Linked DNA regions of Nothobranchius furzeri. Each later gene encodes a partner of the first gene's protein in a complex. Links are inferred from orthologs where the notes say so. Each region holds a gene or a part of one and is shown on either strand. Other genes may lie near its edges. The genes, in order: mtor, rapamycin-insensitive companion of mTOR, fkbp3 and mlst8.

Region 1 (3,562 bases):
GAACCGTGTGGGAGATCCAGCTTTTCCAGATCTCAAAAGAGTGAAACCACAGCATAAAAACCATCACTCTCGTATTCAAACCACTCCAATGACCCCATGTGCTCTTAAAACAGGCGTCTGCATTCAGTGTGTTCTTCTGCTCTTTCATTGAGAGTTTTTCTTCAAAGGTATTGCTGATCTGTTGGTTTCTATGGCATCTCCTCAAATAAACTGCGGGTTTGCAGTCAGAACTGTTTACCATATTGATTTTCAACATCTGCAGCAACGCTGGTAAACAAACAAAGGACTTCTTATGCTTCATTGTGAAAATAAGAGTTCAGATTTCAAAGAAAGTAGTGTTAGTTATCTCTTCTCACCTTCTGAAGCGCAGTAGTGCTAACATGAAGCTTTTTCATAGGGCCTGGCTCCACAGGGCCACTGACCAGAGCATCGCCTTTGTTACCACGAGTCTGGCGATGCTGGAAGATTAAAGGGTCTTCTTCCTCCTCTGCCAGAGTATAACCCTATTAAGGCCACAAATATGCACATATAAACACCAAGGCCACACACACACAGCCCACACACATGCTAACAGTTGTTTAAAGCATCAAAACATGTTTTTTGAATGGAGAAAAGCATTTCCTCCTGGAGGGGGCTGCTGGTAAACACAAGGAAGAATGTACAATGCTTATTTTACTGTTTAGTGATTTATTTCAAAGCTACATTGCAGGCAGATTAAAAAAACACACAAAAAAAAACCCCTGAATTACAGACACACTGGAAAGGTGTGTGACCGATTTAACATTAAAATCTGAATGCACCTACCTTTACAATCCGACATATGAGTATGTCGTATCGCTGGTGATTGACCCTGTGCTTCAGCATCACTTTGTTTACCATAGGGATGAAAATCTGGTACTGAAATCAGGAAGAAAGGAACGTTGTTTAAAAGTCAATGTGTGCCGCATGTGTTGTAGTCTAGATACGTCTTTCCTTTCACTATAAAGTAAATAATGGGGTATGAAGCATGAGCGTTTAACCTCTGAGAGCCTCACATCAAACGCCACCTCGACGTGTTTGTTGCCAAACATGGCTGGAAGGAATTCTGGTGGGTCTGAGGTTGGACCTCCAAACAATAAAAGTGTGTAGAGGTAAAACGTAGAAGGCTCAGGAGGAGAGGCGGGGTTACATGTGACCTCATCCATGCTCATAAACACCAACACCCGCTGATAGAGTGACATAAGCAGTCTGGCAGGAAGTAATAAGAGACTGGAGGGGGGGTAAAAGTGCTGCTCATGTAAAGCCAACAGTAGGGAAGTTGGCCATTTAAAAGGCAGTTCCAGGGATGGATGTGACTACCTTCTTTCCTAACTGGAATACGAGTGAGGACAGGGTGTCCATGGAGGTGGAACGCAGCTCGGGCGTGCTGTCCAGCGTCCTGACAATCGGGTGTATAATGCGTGACGCGTAGTCTGTGAAGTCCAGTGACTCCGTCAGCCGGTCAAGGGTCTCCAAGGCAACTCTGAGCCACAAAGACAAACACAAAACTTGGTTTGAATATTGTTGACAGCAGCAAAACAAAAACACACTGCTGCATCACACTTTACATATGTTTGAAGAACTATTCCGGGCCAGTTTTTAGAAGTAAAAACAGAAACATAATAAAACAATAGGGATGCACCGGAGAGAAAATGTCCAACATTGATATGTAACTTATATTATTTCCCTACACTTTCAACATGATGTAAAAGCAACCACACCACCCAACATTTTTAATCAATTCATAATTTTCCTTTGGGGTTTTACTGACTTTCGGGCTTGCGGTGGTACATCGGGGGCATCAAAGAGCTTGACAATAGGAGGCAGCAACAAGTGAAGGTAGTCGTCCAAGTTTGCACCAAACAGCTGGATGGCAATGAGCAGCTAGAGAAGAGAGGGAATATAACTTTATAACATTTCCCATGAGATGGTTATTTGCTGCCCCCCCCCCCCCCCAGTACACCTGAAGTAAAGCTTTTATTTTGGTAAGTTGGTGGCATAAACACAAGGCTTCCAAATGGTTCAATGGTGTAATACAAGAGCACATTATATATATGTATATATATGTAGGTATATATATATATATGTATATATATGTAGGTATATATATATATATATATATATATATATATATATATATATATATATATATATATATACATTTACATCAACATACTATAATGCGCCATCGGCCCATGTCTAAAGTTCACACGGCGAGACAGCAGGAAGCTGGAGTGTAGGCATTTATTTGTGGTAGTGTGTGGGATACTGAGCTGAACTGTGTCATGAAATGATGGAAGTGTGTTTTTCTTCTTCCCTCTTCTGAACCTGAGGGTAACCCGACTCCAAATCCCCCGTTCTATGAACCCCATCTCGTGCTTGAGATTAGACTCCAGACCCAGACCAGACTTATAGACAATCCAGACTGCGAGCTCCTAAGTTACATAAAACTGTAAACGTTGAGACCGAGAAGAACCAAAGAAAAGTCGACTGTGTGCTCATGATTCCATCTTTGTGCTCTCTGCCCAAACCCATGATTTAGGGTTTGAAGTAAAGTTCTGAAAATATTGGCAGCAGCTGCAGAAACCAGAGAGCGTGTTACTCACAGGTTTACAGCATCTTTGAAGTGACATATTACAAGTGAAAGGCCTAAACCTGTTTGGTGCTGATGAATACTGATGGAGAGCGAAAGCAGCAGCCCGATGAGTCAGCTTTGGGTTATAAACGTGGGGAGTGATGGCAGTACATTAAAAACACAAACTCTTCTTGGCTGCACCGCTGAAATGAATTTATTGCATCAAATCTGAAATATAACCTTGATAATGTGCTTTAACCGTGTAATTTATAACAAGCCACAGGTCACAATATGTTGGTGGAGTTTCATGTGCAAGCTGCCATCCCTAACCTTAAAAGAATAAAAAATTATACACATTTGTTTCATTTAGACTTTTTACAGGGATTAATGAATTAAAAACTGCTACTTGATGCTAAAATTGGTCAAGAAATCTGTAAAATGTACTTAAATCCCATTTTTCTCTTCGAAACAGGCAGAATAATAAGATGATTATTTAATTTTCACCTTAATAGAAATTATCAGGTTTTTTCTATTTGCTGTTTTTTCTATTGCTTTGTGAACAAAAACAAAAACATATTTTGCCAATATGGAAGACAAAATAGAAAAATTAATGCAAATCTTCTTATTTATTAGAAATGGTGAAAACAAAAGATAAATTTTGATTAACCTCAATAAGAAAGGCAGAGCTGGGCTGTAAAAATGCTACGAGAACACAAAAACCACCAACAGAACAAATTAAAAATCAGCAAAACACCAAGTCTCTCTTTCTATAATAGCATCATTCCCACGTGTGCTTTGTGAAAACGACTTCACCATTCAGAGACTGCTGTGCACTTCGCCAGGAAAGCATTCAAGGAACATTATTCCCACAATAAGCTATTTATTTATTAATCCCCTGCTGGGTGTGTGTGTGTGTGTGTGCGTGCGTGCGTGTGTGTTTCAGACTGAGATGTTGCTATGACTACAATC
Region 2 (4,085 bases), on another chromosome or scaffold:
CTGCATTGCTGAAGCTCTTCTGAGGACGTCTAAAGCCATTCAGGACATTGATGCTCTAATTGCTGGAGAAACACTGACTTGAGTCACTGAAGAACATGTCGTAAATCTGTAATTACAGATTCTGATCCTCTGTTTAAAGATGTTACGCATGTAATATTTAATTTGACTGTAGTAACTTGTGTCTAGACATCAAATGTACACACATTGTTCTTTGTCTTCTATTCCCGTCAGTGTTGAAAGAAGAACAAAGAAAACTTTATTCCACTGATAAATATGTTTCCAAATGATGTGGGAAAATTTCCATTGTTATGGTTTTTATTATAATCAAATTATAAATTGCAGTTTTGATTTGGTGAGGAATACTACTTTGCACATGTTAGAAATACGACCAATTTAAAGGGCAAAAATATCCTTCACATCGTTAACTTGCAGACTTAACTGCCATGTTTCTGTGAAGAGACCTTCAGCAGGTTAACACTGCATGTTGACTGTTACTATGCAGTTTAGTCATTTTAAGTCAAGTAAAAAAAACAGCCATTTTGCTTTTTGTAAACATACTGTAGCCTAGGTGTAATGCAGCAAAAGTTGTGGCAACTGCTAGAAACCTTCAAGTTTAACCAAAATAAATGTGTTCATCCTAACAATTTATAGCATCAAGAAAGCAAAATGGGAACATTACTAGGCTAGTTTGCAATACTTCATTGCCAGATAGCTAAATATATCTTTGTTGCATTAAAGTAGGTTGTATTTGTGAAATAAATTGGGAATGTTTTGGCTTTCATGGGCAAAATATCCAGTGGTTTCCAAAGCTAGGGTTGGGATCCTGCTGTGGGTCACCAAGAACCACATGGGGGGTCTTGAGACAATTTCCAAGATTGCTGAAGCTATATTATTTATAATAACTGTTACAAACCTTAACTACATTGTCATAAATGTATATTACTGTACATGAACTGAAGCAGTTTTCTTATGCCCTAAATTATTAAGCTTTTATGCATGGTTTAAAATCAGATATTTGTGGGTCACATGTCTTGACAATTGCTACTTTGAGGGTCTGAAGCTGAAAGATTGGGAACCATTTGCTTAGAAAACAGTTTGGATTGTTCATAAATATTAGATCACACTACTTAAGTCAACCCTTACTAGTTTAATCAATTAATCAAAGAGAAGCAGTCAATTGTCAAAGAAAATGTGTAAATATATAATACTAATCCACAATAATAAAGTGTCATGGTCTTAATCTGGCATGATTGAAATGGTCATAAACTCTACAACAACTTTACTTTCATGTGTTTTTGGATGAAAAGAGGTTAGTGGTGAAATTTGATTATTGTGATTAACCCCGTCCCCAGATCAGATTGCTGTTTTTATATCCACAAACAACAGAGGGACTTTGAGCAGAGGGGTCTAGTCTCAGGTCTGCTGGGTCTGTCCATCGACATTAATACCGTATATAGTTTATACTGGGTCTGTCGTAGCCAGTTTGCAGACGACGTCTTTGATGCGTGTATTGTCGCGAGATTCCGCGAAGTTTCCGGTGTTGTGTGTACTGTATGTTCCTGGAGACATGGCGGCCAGCTTCCGCGGCCGTCCTATACGGAGTCTTCGGATGCGAGGTAAGCTTGAAAAAACTCTGTTCAATGACAGGTGTAACAGCGGGAATCTGCAAAATAGAAGACCCCATACACGCGATGAGCTTGGAGTGATGTGTTTTTGTGTACACTGTGTGTGTTTTTGTCAGGTCGGAATGACAGCGGGGAGGAGAACGTACCGCTGGATCTAAGCAGAGGTAATCAGCGATTATTCTTCAAAATGGATCATCATGGCACTTTGCTGTAAACACTGCCCCATTAAACGAAACTCAAACCATGACGTGCATATGTATTTTTATTTGCAATTCTTACTTAGTCAGTTTTCCTTTCTGTTTCGTGTAAAAACATTGCTAACTAGTCATAACAACGGGCGGTAGCGAGCTAACAAACGAGCTGGATTAGCTGCCACAGCTAACCAGCCATGACGACGCGCTGTTGTTTTGATCGGTGCTAGTAGGATACAGAGCCTGTTATTCAGCCAGACAGCTCATGCATCGGTCATCACTGACTGCACGAGGAACTGGGTGTACTGGCTGTTTGCTAAGTAGCACATATGGCTGCACAGGCTGGTTCTTGAGCTACAGCCTCTCAGCCGGGTCAGAAACACTGCTCCAGCAACAACACCGGTTTGTTTACACGGAACACTCGTGAACAGCATCATCCATCAGGATTTTGTTGTATCTGCTGACATAAGGAGCTGGAGGCGTTTAACATATGAGATATCAGTGACGATAGTTTTCCTCTGCAGGTTTTAAACATATATATCTTGAGGGCCAAAATACAAAGAGGCCATGTTTCATATCAAGTTTCCGTGTAAAGAACTTCTACTTATGGCTAATTTGCAGTCAATGTTCTTGCTTAGTATTTTGAGAAAGTTACAGTTTATACAAAAACAGCAAATCTTCCTAAAAAACTTAAAGCAATGATACAAAATGAGCAGGAGACTAGAAGAATGCACAGATAAATGAGATTTCATGATACCTGAGAGTGCTAACTGACATGAAAGCTCAATTATGAGTTACTTTTTTAATTGTAGTTTGCAAACTGTTTCTTTGTGAGGATCTTTCAACAAACACAACAAACTACAGTCTACTGTTATTTTTGTAGCTGTTTCTAGGCTTTTACAGTAATTTCACTATCTCTTGAACTAAGTTATTAATAGGTAAAGGAAAGTGATTAAAGTAAACAAAAATATCAAATCTCAATAGATTATACTTTTTGTTTTGTACTTGTATTCAGCGCTTGACATCATAGATTTTAAGATTGATTGGGTTGCTTGACTCCAAACTGTTAAACAATAGAATGTTCAACAGAATCAAAGCATGCGTAAATAACACTTGTCATGGGTTAAAATGATCTTTAAAAGACACAAAGCAATTGCGATTAGCTTTGATTAATCTGGATGGTTGGCACTTATCCTGCCCTGAAATTGAAATAAAAAAAAAACCACCATGCAATGCTTCTAAAATGATTTGCATGTACACTTTTCTACTAATGCATTGTTACAAATAGGGAAACCAAACTAAGTCTGTGCTCTAAATGAAGGATTATTATCTGAAGTTATTGTCATTGCTCTTTTTTTCAAATCCACCTCTAATATAAGATACTTAAATATATATTTGAATGGGCATCAAATCAAACTGATGAGTCTGTATAACATATTTTCTTTCTTGATATTTGGTTGTACATGTTTGCTGTTTTTTAAAGTTCAATGAAAAGTAAACAACATGAAATTCATAGATTTATTGTGCATGTTTGTTTTAATTCATAAAATAAATCAACCGTTTGCAAAGTCCTGAAACCTGCTAAGCTATTGTGGAGTTGTTCTAGTGGACTTGGTGTATGTGAATAAATCTGTAAAGTGGTTATCCTGATGTATTTTTAGTGTCTGGAGCTGCTGGAACTTTTCCTGGGTTTCACAATATTTCAATGTCAAGTTATTAATCCTTCTTGCCAATAGAGTTCTCTGTTTTACAGCCACATTCCTTATGTCAATAACATTGTGGTCAGCACATATAAATTGGAAGGACGTGCAAACCAAATGCTGACCTGCTCACATCTTGCTCTTTTAATTGCGTCTTGTTTTGACTGTACACGCTAAATGAGCTGGACCGTCTTCCTTCCTGCAGTGAATCAATTACTGATACTATACCAGTATGGCTTCACACTTTGTTACGTTGCATTGTTTTCTTCTTCTTTCCCTTGCAGAACCATCTGAAAACTTCCGTGAAATTCTCCAAAATGTGGCCAAACCTCATGGAGTCAGTAACATGCGAAAACTGGGCCACCTGAACAACTTCATTAAGGTACTACTGCAGATCTGATGGTCCAAATCCACAGTTTGTGTAATCTGTCTAAACAGTGTTGAAATGTAGTTTTCAACCATTCTCTAGCCACAGGAACTTTGTGATGCTAAATGACATCTGTATGTTTCTGAAAGTTATACCAGGGTGTAGATATTATGACCACAAAGATGGTGTACCGAAGTTTGCT
Region 3 (3,801 bases), on another chromosome or scaffold:
GTTTATAAGTTTGACTCGTCCATGTTTCAGTTAGAATTGACAAAGCTCCTCGGATGAGAAGCGAAATGTCTTCAAGAAACCAAAGAAGTCCAGTTGCCTTCACTTGAACCCTTTAGATTACCAAGAGCTGGATGACTGAGAACCTTCACCAGAATTGATCATTATAGAAAAGCTTAATTCCATTAATGTTTAATTAATGAATGCTATTTTCATAACATTTTGGTGAACTAACAGGGAATTATTGAGCTTCCAGTAAGAGCTCCAGTGTGCTCGAGCAATATAATGCCTGAGGACAACTTGTAGACAAATTAGCAGTAGTGGTAGTAGTAGTAGTAATAGTAGTAGTAGCATTATTATTATTATTATTAGTAGTAGTAGTAGTAGTAGTAGTGGTAGTAGTAGTAGTATTAATAGTAGTAGTAGTAGCTTTATTATTATTATTATTATTAGTAGTAGTAGTAGTAGTAGTAGTAGCAGTAGTAGTAGTAGTGGTGGTAGCTGTAGCCGTAGCAGCAGCAGCAGCAGTAGTAGTAGTAGTAGTAGTAGTAGTAGTAGTAGTAGTAGTAGTAGTAGTAGTAGTAGTAGTAGTAGTAGTAGTGGTAGTAGTAGTGGAAGTAGTGGTGTTGTTTGAGTGAGAAACAGTGAGATCAGGTTTTCCAACACCAACCTTTGGAGTTTTGCACTTTTCTCCCCTGGTGGGTAACAAAAGAGGAGAGATGAGACCTGGGAGATTTCCTGTAAAGAGATAATTGCAGCGAGATGATGATGCTCCACCATCATACCAAGCTGGAGAACAAGGCCATGCAGATATTTATTCATCTCTCTAGTTGGTTACTAGGCAACAAGAGTTACTGGGTGAGAGTGATGCTCTGTGTGTGTGTGTGTGTGTGTGTGTGTGTGTGCATGCGTGCGTGCGTGTGTGCGCGTGCGTGCGTGTGTGTGTGTGTGTGCATGCGTGCGTGCGCGTGCGTGCGTGCGTGTGTGTGTGTGTGTGTGTGTTATGTCTTGTTTAGCCATTTGAATGCTGTAGTAACATCTTCGGTCCGCCAGAGGATGGAAAAATCCTTATCTTCGAAAACCAGATACTAATTGATTCTCGTTGTGTTTCCATTCATTTGACCTAAATAATACATATGAATCCCTTATAAACATAGTATGTTGCCATCTGTCAAGTTAAACGACCGATGAATAAACTTTTGCACTGAACATTAGCAGTAAAAAATAAAGTTTGTTTATTGTTTACCAAGTGGGTGAGCTATTTTAAGCAAACTTGCATTAATTTGTGTTATATCTTTTTCAGTCTATTTTTAGTAAATGTAATATTCATATAACTAACTTAGTAGCTTCCTTGAAGATAAATAAACAAATAATCGAATTCAAAACAAAAACAATGCGCAGCGAGTTCAAAGGTCACCAGTTTGCCTTTTAAGATGGCGGCCGAGCCAGCACGGGAATGGAGCGATGAGCAGCTGAAAAGTGATGATTTACCCAAAAAAGACATAATAAAGTTCATCCAAGACAATGCTTCACACTCGGTATGATTCTCGCTTTATTTTCGGGGAAGTTTCATTCTTAATATTGTGTGTTTTACGATGCTAATGTTCACTAAACGGATTGCAGGGCTAGCAACAATACTGCAGCATCAAAAACGTGCTAACGCTCCCATTCTGGCCGCGTGTTTGTCTTCCAGTTCCTCAATGAGCACAAGCTGCTGGGAAATATTAAAAATGTGGCCAAAACAGCAAAGAAAGAGCAGCTCGTGACAGCGTACAACCAGCTGTTTGAGAGTAAAGTGAGTGATGCTGAGGAGACCTGAATATCAGATGCTGTGTCATCTATAAACATGATAAACGTGAATGCTGTAAGTTTTATTTTGCAGAGATTTAAAGGCACAGAACCAGAGGAGCTGACCGAGCAGGTGAAAGCAGTGAAAATAGAAGAAAAGCCCAAAGAAGTGAAGGCAGAAGTGGTGGATGAGGTGATTTTTCTGGTTTATGCACAACAAATTTAGTCTTTATTTTGAAGATGTTATGACTCCCATCCACTACGTTTCTTCATAATTTCATCAGCAATACACTGCTGCGTAAGGATAACGGAGGCTGAGGTGATTCTGCTTGTTTTAGGGTCCTCCAAAGTACACCAAATCCATCCTAAAGAAAGGCGACAAGACAAACTTTCCTAAGAAGGGTGACACTGTGAGCTGCTGGTACACTGGTACCCTAGAAGATGGAACGGTGTTTGACACGAATATACCCTCAGGTATGATGCCAGAAATACGGGTTTGGAACTTCAGACCAGCATCTTTCATGTTTACGGATAAAACTCAGTCTGTCTTCATCTTTAGTGGCGAGAAAGAAGAAGCAGGCTAAACCTCTGAGCTTCAAAGTAGGCATGGGCAAAGTCATCCGAGGAGTAGGTTTTTTTTTTATCCTTCATGTGCATGTTCACAATTTCCACAATGTTAGACTCTTAATTCCTGCCGTCACTCCAGTGGGATGAAGGCCTTCTGACTATGAGCAAAGGGGAAACGGCCCGGCTGGAGATTGAAGCGGAGTGGGCGTACGGGAAGAAAGGCCTCCCTGACTCCAAGTATCCTTCTCTTTGGCATCACAATAAAACAGGTTTCATTTTACTGGGCTAGTTTTCTTAATCTTGTAGAATTTTTGTGGTACTGGAAAGTACTTTAACTCTTTAAAATAAGCAGGAAATAGGGTTTTGATCATAATAGTCATAAATGAGTTGTTTACGTTTAGGTGTTTTTTCTCTAGTTTAAGGTGCTGGATAATATTGAACATCTTGACTGTGGTAAATTATATTTTTGTGAAGGTTATAGTTTGACTTCCTGTTAACACATTTTCCTTAATTCCAGCTCCACCAGAATCCCTCCTAATGCAAAGCTGATTTTTGAGGTTGAGCTGGTGTCTGTGGATTAAACAGTCCACCAGCATTGCTCTCCATATGCAGCTTTTGGATCCCTATGTTGAAATGTCGTTTGGACTGCACTTAAACAGTCCACTTTGCCTTTATCTAGTCACATGTCATTTGTTTAAACCAGAATGATTGTAATGTTTCCGTGTACAAAATAAAGTTCTTAGTTTGTACAAAAGACTTAATTACTTCATTTTAATTTTCACATTTAGCTGTTTCATTGAACTTGTACATTAAAGATGCTATGAAATAAAAGCACCAAGCTTTTCTACATTTATTATAATCTAGTACCACGACACAACGCGTTGAAGCCAAGTTAAACTTCTTTATTCTGTACAGAAATAAACATTAACTTGGTAAAAGATGACAGATGGCGTTTGTCGTTTCTCCTCCGGGTTGCTGATTAGGAGTTTGCATTTGGACCCTTCTTCTTTCCGAAGGTGGGCACGACATTCACGAAGCGCCTGTTGTACTGGATACGGCGCTTGGCACGGCCAGTCTTCTTTTTTTTCTTCTCCTGTTTGTCGACCTGGATGGAAAAAAAACGCAGATATTTAGGATTGTACCAGTTAATGACTTTTTATAAATTACATTTTTAATAACTGACTCAAACTGTGAGGGAAAACAACTAAATGTTTCTTTATACACCCATTTTGGACAATTCCTTAACTATAAATGCTTTAATGGAGTTAAAGATGTAAAATTCCTTACTTTGGGAGTCTGGCCTCTCACTTTTCCAGCACGGGCAAGTGAACCGTGCACCTTACCTGAAAGAGAGCATGATTAAACTATAGGTCTTCAAAAATAAATAACTATTCATATGATGCTGTTTATATGTACAATCAGCAGTTTACCACTCACTACCTTGTCAAA
Region 4 (4,124 bases), on another chromosome or scaffold:
GTGTGCTGGGATCTTTGTTTTTGGAATGAGCTGAGTCACTTCATCTCCCATCCCTCCAGCCAGGTTCCACACATAACAGTTTCCCTGTTGAGCACAAAAAAGAACCGGTTTGCTTTTGTCTTTTTTAAATTACCCAGCATGGCCGATATTCTCATTTGCAGACTGACCGAACTGTTGACTGCTGCCATGTAACTGGCATCTGGGTCAATATGAACAGAGTTAACCGAGACTTCTGGTTCTGGAATCAGCTGTTCGTTGTGGTCTGTTTTCAGATCCCAAATATGAATCACTCCACTCTGGTCTCCGACTATCAACTCAGCCTGGAAAACACACAACAGTTAGAGCATTTGGAAACACTGTCACTTTAAACTAAAAGACTAAGATCCCAGAGACAAACGCAGCATGGCTAACCTGGTTGGGATGCAGGCACACACAATTAATGGGAGCGTTTACTTGAAAGATCCTCTGACACTGCAGGTTTCTGGACCTAAACAAGAAGCAGGGTTTATTTTAAGTTGGAGCTCACGGGTTTTCAGTAAGTCCTGCTACACTGACCTCAGGTCCCATATGCGAGCCATGCAGTCCTCTCCTCCCGTGTACATCCAGCGCCCGTCTTCATGGAAGCCCACAGAAGTGATGTTCTTGCTGACGCCGTCGTAGTTGATGACGGGGTTTGGGTTGTTGGAGTTCAGGTCGTACATGCGGATGTGCTGGTAACCTTTGAAACAGAATGCACATTACCTGTGAGATAAATCCAAAGCGTTTAACGTTTTACTGGTTCAATTATTTGCTTTTCTTAAAGAACCTGTCTGATTTAGGGGTTGTACGAAATAGTCGACTAGTCGACTTCACGGCTCTGTAGTGACTTTTTATGCCTGTCATCAACTAGTCGCTGTCACGTCATAATGACTGACAAGATGCAGTCCTCGGAAAAGACAGCAGGTGATGAGCCCCTGCGCGTCTGGATCGAGGCGGAGGCGACGCGCTGTGCGGTACTGACACCGGCGGTAAAACGGACATTTAACCAAACTGTGACCTTTTCCCTCTTGCAATTTAACCTTCCCCTCACCCCCATCCTAATCTTAACCAGTTTGCGCATGCAAAGCTCTGATCGTTGACGCGCTCCAGACATTGCGTCCTGAGCACCGCCAAATCAGGTGTCACCACCTCAAAAACAAATTAAACACGCGATCGTTCATGTCGGCTCATTTCCTTTCATGTTTTCTGTCTGTTATTTGTGCCTGATGCATTTCGCTGCTGCGGAGCGATGCGCATCACCTGTTGTCCTCCGGTGACGCACCCCCAAGATTCCACTATCTCTCCACTCCGCTCTGGCACGAACTCCGCAGCAAAAACGGTCCCGTTGTAGTTGGCCGGCGAGCAGCGGCACTCCGCTGTTTTTGCGGTCGGTAGATCTTTTAGAACTGCAGTTCAAAGGTAACTCATAAGGTGAATATATATGAACCCAGGTAGCAGGTTTTCTTTAGGACTGAGAGGAGATGCAGGAAGATAATAAAGACAGGACAGAAAAATAGTCAAATAAAAACAAGTTAGTTTTTGTACCTGGTGGTTGCAACAAACAGACACCACTGAATGTAATCAGAAGTGAGGAACAGAAAATGAAATCATTATTTGAATGTTTAGAGCAGCAGGAAAGGCTGCAGGCGCATCAGTGAGATTGCGGCTGCTGCGCAGGGGGAGGGGGGAGAGGACTGAAGTAGGATGCAGAAACTACCGTTGTTAAAAGAGATGTGTTAACTTAGAAAATGTGGGCGCAATTTTAATTGTCAAAAACTCCAGCGAATCTATCGACCGACCCCCCCCCCCCCCGCCACTTCCGGCGTATGACGTCATCAACGACTAGTCGAAGTCGACTTGACTTTCATTACTTGACTGTCGACTTTAAAAAAAATAAAGTCGTGCAGGCCCTAGTCTGATTTTGTTTTTTGCAAATGCCACCAAATCCCATAAACTAGTCCCATTCTTCGCTCAGTATTTTGCTGAAGCATTCAACAACAACTAGAGCCAATGAGGTCCTTTTCAAATCCTGTCCAACCAACTGAACCCATCGCAGGTAGATTCTGAAGGCGGATAAGCTTTACAAAACAATTTATATTTTATAAATATGGGGTACTGTAAGTAGAGAAACACACAACGTGAAGCTCTATTGATGCATGCATGAACCAACCTGCAGCTGCAATCATACTTCTGTCAGGCGTCACCTCCAGGGAATTGACTTGCTGGGGGAAAATGTCAAGAAAATAAACTTTTATTATATGTCTAATTATTGCATTCTGTTTCTGTAAAGGGTTTCTTTAAAAACAAATACGACAATCGTTAGCTCAAGCACAAGTACCGAGTCCTGGTGCTGGACCGTCCTGGTGCAGATCCCACTGTGGGCCTGCCAGAAGCGGACAGTGTGGTCATATCCCGCCGTGGCCAGAATAACCGGGTCGCTGCCCACCGTCCCCTGGTTCACATTCATGTTTCCACAGCAGTCTGGTTGTCAGAACCGTCAATGCTACACTAAGATAATGAAAATTAGCATTCTGACCTTTACTAAAAGGGATGAAAATCACAGCTTAACAGAAGCTAGTCTTAGCTCAACAAGCTAACCAAGGTCGAAGTTTAACACTTTCGAGATTAAACCGTTTTCTGCGACAACACCTCTCACCTTACAGTAAAACAGCGATATTTGATAAACAGCATTTTGTTTACATTACCCTCTGCCGTCGATTCAGGAAAAAACGCGTCTTGGTTAAAAGCGTCCTCCAGAAACCAGAGTTCCGTTACAAACGTTCCGTGTTGATGAGTGCATTACCGCCACTTACTGGTGAATTAGAAATTAACAGGACGAACTGTCTGGATTTACGTCATGTTAATAATAAATATATTGCATTTATTAAGAATAAAATACCTCTAAGTCTACCGTGGGTTTAGTTTCGCCCTGAGGCCGCACGATCTGATGTTTATAGAGCTGCAGTTAACCGCTTCAGCTTGTTTATTTTATCGTGTTCAACACAAATAATTAAAAGTTAAGTAGTCTGCATATGTAAAGATGATATGGCTTTCCAGTCATCTAGACAAACTACGCTAATTCAATAATCGTAGTAATTTTAAGTGGTTTTATCTTCAACCACTTGTCTCCAGAAGAGGGCGATCCCTTACTCTCGAAAGCTAGACTCAGTTCTCGTTTTTTCATCCAGCTGACCTAGCTAAACATAAAAATTCATTACATATGTGGCCATTAATCAAAACAAATGACAGATTATAAGTACGGTAATTAAATTAAACGTTTATTCAGATAAAGAACAACCCGTATAAAAGAACTGTTTCTCTATTCTGTAGTTGTTACTTTTGCTGCATTTGTTTTCTTTTATTTAAATTATATGAAAAGGTTACAAATTTGTGAGATCCAAACAAATCTAAATGGTTTTCCTGTTAAAACAGAAATGTTTACCTTTTGAAAAATAATTCCCATGTATGAATGTCTGTTTATTAGACGCTGTTGAGTATTTATTGGTCAATAACTAATAATTAAGTTTGATATCTGACATGTTTGATTAGAAACTACAAACTCATGCTGGTAAAAATGTTATCTAAATATATTTATTTGACCTATTTGATGCATAGACTTTTAAGTTATGTTATGCAATAAAATAAACATTTGATTACTTGTTTTTAAATATGACTGAAAATATTTAATAAGCAGACGCCCAGCGCAACACCCGCTCACACATCTGAAGTAAGCCACTGATATGTGAACTCATGTTTTCACCAGTCGTTTTAAAATCAATGCATATAAAAGTACACATGACTGAATCAATACAAAAGTTAATTCATGCAATTATTGATGCTTATACTACCATTTGTACTCTTTAATAGTAACATTACCCCTCTTGTTGTCTATTGAATTTGTCTTTATTTCATATATAAATATTCTGTAATTTTTTATTGTCTCATAATAAACCTACATATAGTGGTTTTACATTTAATAACTACTATTTTGCCTTCATAAGCTTATTTATTCTTAAAATTAGCAGCTTCAATCCTCCACTGAATACGAATTGTTTAAAGTAGAATAAACCCACTAATTGAAATGTTTTAAGGTTTTAATTAGAAAA

The links.
Region 2: the proteins of mtor (region 1) and rapamycin-insensitive companion of mTOR are in contact, whole or in part, in a cryo-EM structure (PDB 6ZWM), measured with the Homo sapiens proteins. The link is inferred for Nothobranchius furzeri from reciprocal best matches to the Homo sapiens genes MTOR and RICTOR. Residues at the interface, in NP_001373429.1 of Homo sapiens: Arg1028, Asp1032, Lys1068, Leu1069, Asp1108, Asp1109, Tyr1110, Asp1150, Lys1187, Asn1196, Val1200, Gln1207, Asp1210, Val1211, Cys1214, Arg1215, Lys1218, Gly1219, Tyr1220, Thr1221, Leu1222, Ala1223, Glu1226, Glu1227, Asp1228, Leu1230, Ile1231, His1234, Arg1235, Arg1238; in NP_689969.2 of Homo sapiens: Leu204, Arg205, Gly206, Asn209, Arg245, Asp247, Val248, Glu249, Glu251, Arg252, Leu254, Thr258, Asp259, Phe260, His261, Tyr262, Arg263, His264, Ser265, Pro266, Asn306, Gly308, Ser311, Gly314, Val315, Cys317, Ile318, Pro319, Glu345, Ile347.
Region 3: the proteins of mtor (region 1) and fkbp3 are in contact, whole or in part, in a crystal structure (PDB 5GPG), measured with the Homo sapiens proteins. The link is inferred for Nothobranchius furzeri from reciprocal best matches to the Homo sapiens genes MTOR and FKBP3. Residues at the interface, in NP_001373429.1 of Homo sapiens: Glu2032, Tyr2038, Phe2039, Gly2040, Arg2042, Tyr2088, Val2094, Leu2097, Tyr2105, His2106, Arg2109; in NP_002004.1 of Homo sapiens: Lys160, Pro161, Leu162, Ser163, Lys170, Tyr198, Lys201, Gly202, Gln203, Pro204, Asp205, Ala206.
Region 4: the proteins of mtor (region 1) and mlst8 are in contact, whole or in part, in a crystal structure (PDB 4JSV), measured with the Homo sapiens proteins. The link is inferred for Nothobranchius furzeri from reciprocal best matches to the Homo sapiens genes MTOR and MLST8. Residues at the interface, in NP_001373429.1 of Homo sapiens: Leu2269, Arg2270, Met2271, Ala2272, Pro2273, Asp2274, His2277, Leu2278, Thr2279, Leu2280, Met2281, Gln2282, Val2284, Glu2285, Val2286, Glu2288, His2289, Asn2292, Asn2293, Glu2536; in NP_001186102.1 of Homo sapiens: Tyr20, His22, Asp42, Ser43, Gln44, Val45, Asn46, Tyr62, Asn87, Glu105, Gln148, Thr174, Arg221, Tyr222, Leu224, Ser268, Arg270, Gly271, Trp272, Trp274, Ser290, Lys313, Val316.

The regions. Positions count from the first base shown.
Region 1 is NC_091755.1:52,484,543-52,488,104, forward strand, and holds part of mtor (serine/threonine-protein kinase mTOR), read right to left. Parts: intron 1,903-3,562; coding exon 1,790-1,902; intron 1,502-1,789; coding exon 1,339-1,501; intron 898-1,338; coding exon 805-897; intron 504-804; coding exon 357-503; intron 1-356. UniProt on the Homo sapiens protein: Serine/threonine protein kinase which is a central regulator of cellular metabolism, growth and survival in response to hormones, growth factors, nutrients, energy and stress signals.
Region 2 is NC_091757.1:36,632,387-36,636,471, forward strand, and holds the start of rapamycin-insensitive companion of mTOR, read left to right. Parts: upstream 1-1,274; 5' UTR 1,275-1,501; coding exon 1,502-1,616; intron 1,617-1,741; coding exon 1,742-1,789; intron 1,790-3,800; coding exon 3,801-3,898; intron 3,899-4,085. Other genes in the region: c17h5orf34 (uncharacterized protein C5orf34 homolog), read left to right, coding at 1-82. UniProt on the Homo sapiens protein: Component of the mechanistic target of rapamycin complex 2 (mTORC2), which transduces signals from growth factors to pathways involved in proliferation, cytoskeletal organization, lipogenesis and anabolic output.
Region 3 is NC_091742.1:23,796,156-23,799,956, reverse strand, and holds fkbp3 (peptidyl-prolyl cis-trans isomerase FKBP3), read left to right. Parts: upstream 1-1,380; 5' UTR 1,381-1,430; coding exon 1,431-1,535; intron 1,536-1,690; coding exon 1,691-1,792; intron 1,793-1,879; coding exon 1,880-1,978; intron 1,979-2,123; coding exon 2,124-2,259; intron 2,260-2,344; coding exon 2,345-2,412; intron 2,413-2,491; coding exon 2,492-2,589; intron 2,590-2,878; coding exon 2,879-2,933; 3' UTR 2,934-3,295; downstream 3,296-3,801. Other genes in the region: faua (FAU ubiquitin like and ribosomal protein S30 fusion a), read right to left, coding at 3,332-3,457, 3,640-3,695. UniProt on the Homo sapiens protein: FK506- and rapamycin-binding proteins (FKBPs) constitute a family of receptors for the two immunosuppressants which inhibit T-cell proliferation by arresting two distinct cytoplasmic signal transmission pathways. PPIases accelerate the folding of proteins.
Region 4 is NC_091756.1:30,074,050-30,078,173, reverse strand, and holds the start of mlst8 (target of rapamycin complex subunit lst8), read right to left. Parts: upstream 2,818-4,124; 5' UTR 2,724-2,817; intron 2,718-2,723; exon of another isoform or gene 2,522-2,717; 5' UTR 2,486-2,521; coding exon 2,357-2,485; intron 2,241-2,356; coding exon 2,189-2,240; intron 1,415-2,188; exon of another isoform or gene 1,279-1,414; intron 719-1,278; coding exon 556-718; intron 488-555; coding exon 412-487; intron 321-411; coding exon 168-320; intron 85-167; coding exon 1-84.